Linked DNA regions of Canis lupus familiaris. The protein of the gene in region 3 purifies or fractionates together with the protein of the main gene of each other region. This does not show direct contact. Links are inferred from orthologs where the notes say so. Each region holds a gene or a part of one and is shown on either strand. Other genes may lie near its edges.

What was found.
Region 1: the proteins of E2F-associated phosphoprotein (region 3) and small nuclear ribonucleoprotein E-like purify together in Homo sapiens (affinity purification with mass spectrometry; 3 studies listed by BioGRID and IntAct, counting the BioPlex papers as one, with this or other methods). This does not show direct contact. The link is inferred for Canis lupus familiaris from reciprocal best matches to the Homo sapiens genes EAPP and SNRPE.
Region 2: the proteins of E2F-associated phosphoprotein (region 3) and TSSC4 purify together in Homo sapiens (affinity purification with mass spectrometry; 3 studies listed by BioGRID and IntAct, counting the BioPlex papers as one, with this or other methods). This does not show direct contact. The link is inferred for Canis lupus familiaris from reciprocal best matches to the Homo sapiens genes EAPP and TSSC4.

What each region holds. Positions count from the first base shown.
Region 1 is NC_049222.1:93,812,949-93,815,454, reverse strand, and holds small nuclear ribonucleoprotein E-like, read right to left. Parts: upstream 1,011-2,506; 5' UTR 992-1,010; coding exon 713-991; 3' UTR 551-712; downstream 1-550. UniProt on the Homo sapiens protein: Plays a role in pre-mRNA splicing as a core component of the spliceosomal U1, U2, U4 and U5 small nuclear ribonucleoproteins (snRNPs), the building blocks of the spliceosome.
Region 2 is NC_049239.1:46,929,689-46,933,441, reverse strand, and holds TSSC4 (protein TSSC4), read right to left. Parts: upstream 2,540-3,753; 5' UTR 2,252-2,539; intron 1,526-2,251; 5' UTR 1,422-1,525; intron 1,252-1,421; 5' UTR 1,232-1,251; coding exon 269-1,231; 3' UTR 7-268; downstream 1-6. UniProt on the Homo sapiens protein: Protein associated with the U5 snRNP, during its maturation and its post-splicing recycling and which is required for spliceosomal tri-snRNP complex assembly in the nucleus.
Region 3 is NC_049229.1:13,544,212-13,547,864, forward strand, and holds part of E2F-associated phosphoprotein, read right to left. Parts: intron 2,663-3,653; coding exon 2,549-2,662; intron 1-2,548. UniProt on the Homo sapiens protein: May play an important role in the fine-tuning of both major E2F1 activities, the regulation of the cell-cycle and the induction of apoptosis. Promotes S-phase entry, and inhibits p14(ARP) expression.

The DNA.
Region 1 (2,506 bases), on a different chromosome or scaffold from region 3:
AAAAGAATGAGATCTTGCCATTTGCAATAACGTGGATGGCCCTAGAGGGTATTATGCTGAACGAAACAACTCAGACAGAAAAAGACAAATACTATATGATTTCACTTATGTGTGGAACTAAAAAAACAAAATGAAGGAACAAACAAAACAGAAACAGACTCATAGATACAGAGAACAAACTGGTGGTTGTCAAAGGGGGTTTAGGGGGATGGGCAAAATGGGTAAAAGGGAGTAAGAAGTACAGACTTCTTGTTATGGAATGAATAAGTCAAGGGAATGAAAAGTACAGGGTAGGGAATACAATCAATGATATTGTAATTGGGTTGTGTGGTGGCAGATGGTAGTTACACTTTCGGTAAGTATAGCATAATATGTAGACTTGTCAAATACTATGTTGTACACCTAAAACTACTATAACATTGTGTATCAACTTCAATTAAAACACACACACATGCACGCATGCACGTACACACACACACACACACACACACACACAGATTGTTGGGCCTCATCCCCAGAGTTTCTTTTTTTTTCTTTTTTTTTTTTTTTTAATAAAAACAATCCCACAGCATTTATTGTCCTCTGGTAAGAACATAAAGGTAATCAAAACAATATGAACAAGGGTTTTAGAACTATATTCCCAACAAAGGACATCTAAAAAAACAAACTACGTGGCCTTCTCAAGAATTTCTCACTTCACTGATCATTCATTCTAGTTGGAGACACTTTGGAGCAGGGTAATATTATCTCCTTTTAGCATGATCCGACCCAGTTGTTTTCTTGACTTTGTTTTAGAATGAATCTCTTTGGCATCGTCTAATACAAGGCTCATGTACTCATCAAAACCAATGATACAGCCCTCTATCCGCATGTTTATTTGCTCATAAAGCCACACCTGAATCCGAGATCTATTTTGCAAGTATCTGAAGATGAGGTTGATGGGCTGAACCATCACCTTCTGCACTTTCTGGCCCTGGCCACGGTACGCCATGGTGGAAGCGGACCCCAGAGTTTCTTTAATACATCTGCAACAAGGCCTAAGAATTTACATTTCTTTTTTTTTTTTAGGATTTATTTATTTATTTGTTTATTTGTTTATTTATTTATTTGAGAGAGAGAGAACACATGAGTGGGAGGGAGAGGGAGAAAGAATCTAAAGCAGACTCCCCACTGAGCATGGAGCCCCAACACAGGGCTTACTTAATTTCATGATTGCAAGAACATGACCTGAACCAAAACCAAGAATCAGATGCTCAACTGACTGAGCCACCCAGGTGCCCCAGAATTTATATTTCTAACAACTTCTGAGGTGGTGTCAATGCTTCTGGCTTAAGGATCACTCTTTGAGAAACTTAAGAAACAAACAAAAATGTATGGGATGCCTTCCTGTGTACCTACATACACCTGATTGGAGCTGCAGAATAAGAGAAGAAAGAGAAAGGGGCAGAAAGAATATTTGAAAACATAGTGAGCAGATCTTTCCAAATTTGATGAAATACATAAATCTACACATCCAAGTTATTATAGTCCCTATGTAGAATTGGCTCCTGCAGATGAGAACTCTGTCCTGGCTGACACCTTCATTACAATCTTGTGTGGCCCTGTAGCATAGCACCAAGCTTGGCCATCCCTAAATGCCTGCCCACAGAAACCGTGAGATAATGAGTATGTGTTCAAGCCACTAAGTGTATGGTTATTTGTTACCCAGCTACAGAAAATTAATACACTAGTCTGTCTGGCTCCTGCAGTCTATGCTCCTTGTCCCTTTCCTGATTAGTTAAACATATCATGAAAGGCAGTAACTGAGGAGTTGGTAGAGATTATAGACTTTCAGAGTTCCAAGAAACTCACAGGGCACTAGTCCAGCACCTCTAAGACATGCAGATCCCCTTCCTCAAGGGAACATCTAAGAAAATAGGGATATTGGGGATCCCTGGGTGGCTCAGCAGTTTAGCACCTGCCTTCGGCCCAGGGTGTGATCCTGGAGACCTGGGATCGAGTCCCTCATCAGGCTCCCTGCATGGAGCCTGCTTCTCCCTCAGCCTGTGTCTCTGCCTCTCTCTTCCTGTGTCTCTCATGAATAAATGAATGGAATCTTTTTTTTAATTAATTAATTAATTTATTTATTTATTTATTGGAATCTTTTTTAAAAAAAGAAGAAGATTGGGATATTGAACTATAAGATGGTGATCTGAGTCCCAATAACATTGAGATGATGACTAGGGATAACTACAAGTAGTGCTTTTAAATATTTTTTATGGCTGAGTGAAGTAAGTTAGTCGGAGAAGGACAAACATTATATGTTCTCATTCATGTGGGGAATATAAATAATAGTGAAAGGGAATATAAGGGAAGGGAGAAGAAATGTGTGGGAAATATCAGAAAGGGAGACAGAACATAAAGACTGCTAACTCTGGGAAACGAACTAGGGGTGGTAGAAGGGGAGGAGGGCAGGGGGGTGGGAGTGAATGGGTGACGGGCACTGGGGGTTATTCTGTATGTTGGT
Region 2 (3,753 bases), on a different chromosome or scaffold from region 3:
ACAAAGTCTAAGCAACACCCAAAACCTTTACTGTGGCCCCACAGGCATGTGGTGGGCCAGGGTCTTTGCTGTCCACTGGCAAGCTGTCTGCTTCAGAGACCACTATCCCGAGCCCTAGCCCAGGCTGCTGGCGCCTCACACTGGCAGACCGCTGGCTCCCTTTCCAGGGCGGGGGGCCCCAAGCTCCACTCCACTCCAAGTGGCCAGTGACCCCGGCTGCCCTCCTCCACCGCATGGTCAGGAAACGCCAGCCAGGCAGTCTCTTCTCTCAAATCTCTGCACCTGGGGCCTCAGGTGTGTTGTTCTTGTTCCGGAAATGGTCCCTGCTCCGCTTCCTGCTACCATGGAAGCCAACAGTCTCCACCACTGGGGGCCCCACCGCTGACCTAGCATGGGCAGCCCCCTGTGGCACGTCCACTTCCTGTAGCCCCCCGTGGGGGCTGTTCTCTTCCTCAGCCTCTGGGCTCCCAGGCCCTGCCAGGTGGGCCAGCTCCACAGGGCCCTCGCCCCCTGCTGCTCCCAGGTCCCCAGGGGCACCCCTGCCTGACTCTCCTGCCTTCCTCAGGGCCCTCTTCCTCTCAGGCCTGGCCTCGCCAGCTCGGGCCGGTTTGGTGAAGATGACTCTTCCCTCCCCACAGCTGGAGGGATCCTGGTTGAAGGACGGCATGTAGTCTCTGGGGCCAGCCAGGCTCTGGGAGCTCAGGAAGGCCAGGGCGGCAGCCTGATTGCTCTGCTCACTGACCTCGGCTACGTTTTCCAGGCTGTACTTGGTCCAGCGCTCAGGGTGGGCCATGTAGTCAGGGATGGGGGGCAACTTCGTGGGGGCAGGGCTCTGACTGGCCCTGCCCGGGCCCTCTCCTGGACGCTGGTGTGAGGATGCTGGTGGCTGCATGAAATCCCCATGGTCACCCGGGTCTTGCCTGGCTGCGTCCTCCAGGCAGTCAAAGATGTTGCGGCTGCGCCAGGAGAAGGTGGAGCTCGTGCCTCTCAGGTGGAAGGGCTGTACTGAGGCTGTGGGGAGGCCTTTTGGAGGCAAAGGGGTCTCATCGGGGTCTGAGTCCCCCTGGGCCTCCCCAGATAGCACCCCCGGGGGCAGAGCTTCCATCTCAGTACCGCCAGGCAAGCTGAAATCGGAGTCCGAGTCACTGAGAGAGACGGTGTCGGAAGGCAGAGCGTCATCCTCTGTTCCTCGCTCGGCTTCCAGGGGCTCTCCTACCCCTACCTCAGACATGTGTCCCAGGGCCACCACACCTAGACCAGAACAGCCCAAAGAGTTCGTTTCTGAGGATTGCACCCATTTAGGACGGGCCCCTCCTATAAACCCACAGTCCCTGGGCAGGCGGCAGGGCCAGAAGGAAGAGCTATGTCCTACCAAACAAAGGACAGAGATTCCCACACCCGCCCCCCCCTCAACGTCTCACCTCCGTTGTCTGATGAACGTCTGTGCAGACACCAGAATTCTGGTGGGTGAAGTCCCGGCAAAGGCGCCCGGTGGCCTCAGTCCCGGCTCCGCTTAGCTGCTCAACTGTAGCGGGCAGAAGGTGGGAAGGGCAAATCGTCAGGGAGCACCAGGGCAAAGCGGTACCGCGACCCCCAGGGGGCGGTCCTGGGTTTCCGGGGCCCAGGCCCAGGCCGGCCTGGACGCAGACCCTTCGGGAAGATCTTCATTCAGCCCTCTTGAGCTAAGTCTAGGGGCCCGCTGGGGGTTAGGCAGGCAGCAGCCAGGGCCCAGCCCGGGGGCAGCAGCAGGCTCTGCGCTCCACGACGGCGCTCGACCAGGCGGCCCGTCCACGAGCTGCTCGGCACAGCTGCGCCACCTGCCTGGGCAAGGCAAGGGCTGCCCCTGCCTGCCCAGACGCCCCGGGACTCCACGCGGGTCTGCAGCCGGGGCCTCCGCGTCTGACCGTCAGGCCCGCGGGGAAGTGGGGGGTCAGCGGCCGCCCGGGGCATCCTTGCGGGCAGGGCAAGCCCGCGGCTCCGGCAGCAGCCTCTCCTGGCACGTCCCCGCGAGGGAAGGAGCTCCGGAGGGCGGGGCGCCGCCGCGACCTGGGGGGGCGGCCGGGCCGGCGGGCGCCCCGGGGTCGGGCACAGCGCCCCGCGACAGCGAGCGGCCGCGGCGGCTCCCGGGCTTCTCCGCGGAGGCCGGCGGCTCGGCCGGGGCAGGGCTGGGGCGCGCTCGGCCGCCCGTGGAAGCCGGCGCCGGCTGTCTCCGCCCCGGCGGGGGCCTGGCCGCACGCGGGCCGCGGCTCACCAGGCTCGGGGAGCCACCAAAGACGCGAAACACCTCGGGGATGTGGGGCGAGGAGGCTGCGAAAAGGCGACCTCTCTCCCGCGCCACAAGCCTACCGGCTCAAAGCCGCCGGGCCGCCTCCATCTTTCGCCGCGCTCGGCCTCCTGGGAAACCGAGTCTTCCGCCGGCCCGGCGCCTCGGCGTCCGCACCTGAAGAACTACACCTCCCACAAGGCACCGGGACGCTACTCCCGAGGCCTGTCGGGTCCCGTAGCCCCTGCGCATGCGTCCTCGCTTTTCTCCCTAGCCTCCCCCCTCCCCGGAAACGTCGGCTCTCCTTCGCGCAAAGAGCCGGAATTGAGGAGGGAAAGGAGGAGGAGGAAGAGGCAGCACTGCGACTCCCAGAATGCTCCAGGACTAACGGCCAGCGCCGCGTTCCCGGGGCCCCAGCGCCGCCTGCTGGAAGTCGCGAGCACAGCGGCCGCCTCAGGCCGGAAGTGCATCGTCGCACGCGGCATCGTCGCCGGGTGCTTCCGGTCAGGCCGGAAGTGCGGGCCGCCCGCTCGTGGGTCGGGGGAGGGGGAGGGGGAGGGGGTGGGGGGGGGCCGGGTTCCGTCTGAGCGCTCGGCTCGCGGTCCCGACGGCCCGGCCGGTGCTGCCCACCTGACGGCCGGTCTGGCCGCGTCTCTCGGGGCCGCGGTCCTGGAGTGCTCGGGAAGCCCGCGGACCCCTCGTTTCCGGGGCCGCCCAGCATGGCCTGCGGCAGCACCGGGCAGCTAGGTCGGGATGCCCCAGCCCCCCAGCCCCGCCTGCAGCTGCAGTGTGCCGCTGTGCGAGGATGCCCCAGGGACCCCGCCCTCCTGGGGGCCCCCCAGCCCCGCCAGCAGCTGCAGTGTGCAGCTGTGCGAGGGCGCCCCAGGGACCCGCCCTCCTGGGGGCGCCCCAGCCTCACCTGCAGCTGCAGTGTGCCGCTGTGCCAGGGCGCCCCAGGGACCCGCCCTCCTGGGGGCCCCCCAGCCCCGCCTGCAGCTGCAGTGTGCCACTGTGTGAGGATGCCCCAGGGACCTGCCCTCCTGGGGGCCCCCCAGCCCCGCCTGCAGCTGCAGTGTGCTGCTGTGCGAGGGCGCCCCAGGGACCCGCCCTCCTGGGGGCCCCCCAGCCCCACCTGCAGCTGCAGTGTGCTGCTGTGTGAGGATGCCCCAGGGACCTGCCCTCCTGGGGGCCCCCCAGCCCCCCAGCCCCGCCTGCAGCTGCAGTGTGCCGCTGTGCGAGGGCGCCCCAGGGAACCGCCCTCCTGGGGGCGCCCCCAGTCTCGGTCTCCCCAGCACAGACTGGCTGTGCTGTGCCTGCAGGCCAGGATCCCCAGGGTCGTGCAGGGGCAAGTAAGCAGGGCTGCTCCTTGGGCCACTCTGTTCTCTCAGGGACCCACCCTGGCACACAAGGTGGAGGGGTGTGGCAGGAGGGGCAGACCTCACTGAGACCTGATGACCCCAAAAGTAGGGCTGGGGCCAGTTTCCAAAACA
Region 3 (3,653 bases):
TTGAGCATCTGACTTTGGCTCAGGGCATGATCCCGGTGTGGGGATCGAGCCCCACACTGGGCTCCCTGTGAGGAACCTGATTCTCCCTCTGTCTATGTCTCTGCTTCTCTCTGTGTCTCTCAAGAATAAATAAATAAAATCTTTTAAAAAATAAATAGTCAATTAGTCCATAGTGAGACACCTGGATGGCTCAGCAGTTGAGTGTCTGCCTTCGGCTAAGGGCTCACAAGTGATCCCAGGGTCCTGGGATCGAGTCCTGCAACAGGCTCCCTACAGGGAACCTGCTTCTCCCTCTATGTCTCTGCCTCTCTCTCCCATGAATAAATAAAATCTTAAAAAAGAAAAAAAGTCCATACTATCCAAAGTCATCTATTGTCAATGCAATTTTATCAAAATTCCAATGGCATTTTTCACAGAAATAGAAAAAAAACCAACAAGCTAAAAAGCTTCAGCATAGCAAAGAAACCATCAACAAAAGGAAATAGAAACCTACGGAATGGAAGAAAATATTTGCAAATCATGTATTTAACAAGGGGCTAATATCCAAGAAACTCATACAACTCAATAGCAAAGAAAAAAAAAAGGCAAAGGCAAAGAACCTGAACAGACATTTTTCCAAAAAAGATATGCAAATGGCCAGCAGGTACATGAAAAGGTGTTCATCATCCTTAATCATCAGGGAAACGTAAATAAAAACTGTAGTGAGGTATTACCTCACACCTGTTAGAATGGCTACCAAAAAGACAAAACAAAAGTGAACACTTGCACATTACTGGTGGGAATGTAAATTGGTATAGTGACTATGGAAAACAGTATGGAGGCGCCTCAAAATATTAAAAATAGAACTACCATATGATTCAGCAATCCCACTTCTGGGTATATAACTGAAGGAAATGAAATCACTCTCTCGAAGAAATATCTGCACCACGACATCAGCCAGGTGATCAAGGTCAACATTAACAGTTAATAAATCTGTTTTTTTTTTTTTTTTTTTTTTTAATTTTTATTTATTTATGATAGTCACAGAGAGAGAGAGAGAGAGGCAGAGACACAGGCAGAGGGAGAAGCAGGCTCCATGCACTGGGAGCCTGATGTGGGATTCGATCCTGGGTCTCCAGGATCGCGCCCTGGGCCAAAGGCAGGCGCCAAACCGCTGCGCCACCCAGGGATCCCTTTTTTTTTTTTTTTTTTTTTTTTTTTTTTTAATTTTTTAAATCTGTTGATTTTTGTTGTTGTTGATAGTCCATGCCCTTGATACAATGTAATGAAAACAACACTTTACCTCTGTGGTCTTCTCCCCAAAAACCTACTGCAGCTTTATTCATAATAGCCAAACATGGAAACTAAGTGTACATGCTACGTGAATGGATAAAGAAAACATGGTGTATAGATACAATGGAATACAAAAAAAAAGAAAGAAAATCCTGTCATTTGTGAAAACATGAATGAACCTCGAGGGCACTAAGCTAAATGAAGTCATAGACAAAAAATTACTGAATGATCTCACTTGTATATAAATCCAAAAAAAAAAATGAACAGTAAGAAACAAAGTAGACTGGTGGTTAGTGGGGGAAGGGTGGACAAGTGAAGACTGTCAAGTGGTACAAACTTCCAATTATAAGATGAAGGTCTGAGGATGTAATAAACACAATGTCTACAGTTAACAATCTTGTACTATATACTTGAAGTTGCTAAAAAAAACTAATTTTAAGAGTTCTCAACAAACAAAAAAAGGAAAATACATGAGGTGATGGATGCATTAACCTTATGTAATCATTTAGCAATATATTTGTATATCAAATCATCATGTTGTACACTTCAAACTTACATAATGTTATGTGTCAATTATATCTCGATAAAGCTAGGAAATGATTTTAAATTTTTAAATGGTCTAGTTGACAATAAATTTAATACCCAAATGATGTACTCTTTAATAAAAAGTTTTCAATGGTTAAAACAGTAAATTTTATGTTTTATCACAATTTTTTAAAAAAGAATGTATTTGACAGATTACATCATTCCACAATATATATGCAGTTTCACTGAATCCTTTTAAGTATGTGCTTTATTAGAAAAACTACTTATGAGATGCCTGGGTGGCTCAGTAGTTGAGCGTCTGCCTTCGGCTCAGGTCCTGATCCCGGAGTTCCAGGATCTGGTCCCACATCGGGCTCTCTGCATGGAGCCTGCTTCTCCCTCTGCCTGTGTCTCTGCCTCTCTGTGACTCTCATGAGCAAATAAATAAAATCTTTAAAAAAAAAAAAAAAAAAAAAATGAAAAGAAAAAGAAAAAGGAAAAACTACTTAGAACTATGTATAACTAAAAAAAAAAAAAAAAAAGAACTATGTATAACTAAAATTATTTGTATAAAGATTAGTTATGTAGCAGCAAGGACACAGGAGGACAGAACTTTATCAGAATTCCTAAGTATATACCTCAAAAGTCTATTTCTGATTTAAACAAAAAACCAAGTTGTTTTTCATCATTTTGTGTATGCATGTGTGTGTATGTGTGTTTGTGGTGTGCTATGACACCCTTTATCCATTACCTTTGGCAATCAAGACATAGTGTGGTCATGCAGGCAGGGCAATTCAAGACAGCATCACTATTTGGAACAGGCTGCTGTTGTTGATATGGTCTCTGTATTCCAAAACCATGGTAGCTGGAATAAAAAAAGAAAATGTGGGGGGGGGGGGGGGGGGGGTAGACACACACTTTAAAGCCAGATCTTGATTTTCTTTTTTTAAGTAGGCTTCACACCTAAAATGGGGCTTGAACTCAAGACCCCAAGATTAAGAGTCACATGCTCTGGGGCACCTGAGTGGCTCAGTCAGGTAAGCATTGAACTCTTGATTCTAGCTCAGGTCATGATCTCAGTGTTGTGAGATCAAGCCCCAAGTCAGGCTCCACTCGGCATGGAACCTGCTTAAGATTCTCTCTCCCCCTCTACCCCTCCCCACCCTCTCAGAGGGAGGGAAGGAGGGAGGGAGGCTCTACCAACTGAGCTAGCCAAGCATCCCCGAGACCCTGATTTCTAATGCCACCCTCCAGTAAAAGAACCTAGTACTCCTAAGAGAAATGACTGATTCTAGGAATGAGGCATATGAAATGAACCTGGAGCATCTTGTAGTGCCAGGAAGTAAGGAAGTGCTCAAAAACAAGGAGGTAGATATATCAAGGGGCACAGAAGCCAACTCAAAGAATTAGAGTTGGCCAAAGCTGAAACAATTAGAACAATAAAATAAAGCAGTATTGGATACAAAATATAAATAAATACTCACAAGTCCATACTGATACAAATGACTAATGACTGAATAAATGAATGAGGGAAGAACGGAGGGAGGGAGAACAGACAAATGTCCCAGATGGAAGAATAACTTATGAAGATACTCTCCTCTCAAGGAAGTGGAGCATAATGCACATAATGACTTCCTTCCAAAGAGTACAGTATAGACAGGAGGGGCGGAGAGTAACTTTACAGTAGAGAAACCTGACAATTCCTTGCTAAGATGATCAAGGTCAACATTAACTATCATAAATCATGTTGACAGTATGTGCCATAATTACAATGTGATGAAAATGGCACTTTATCTCTGTGTTCCTCCTCACCAAAACCCATAATCCCAGTGTCTAATCACGAGAAAAGCATCACA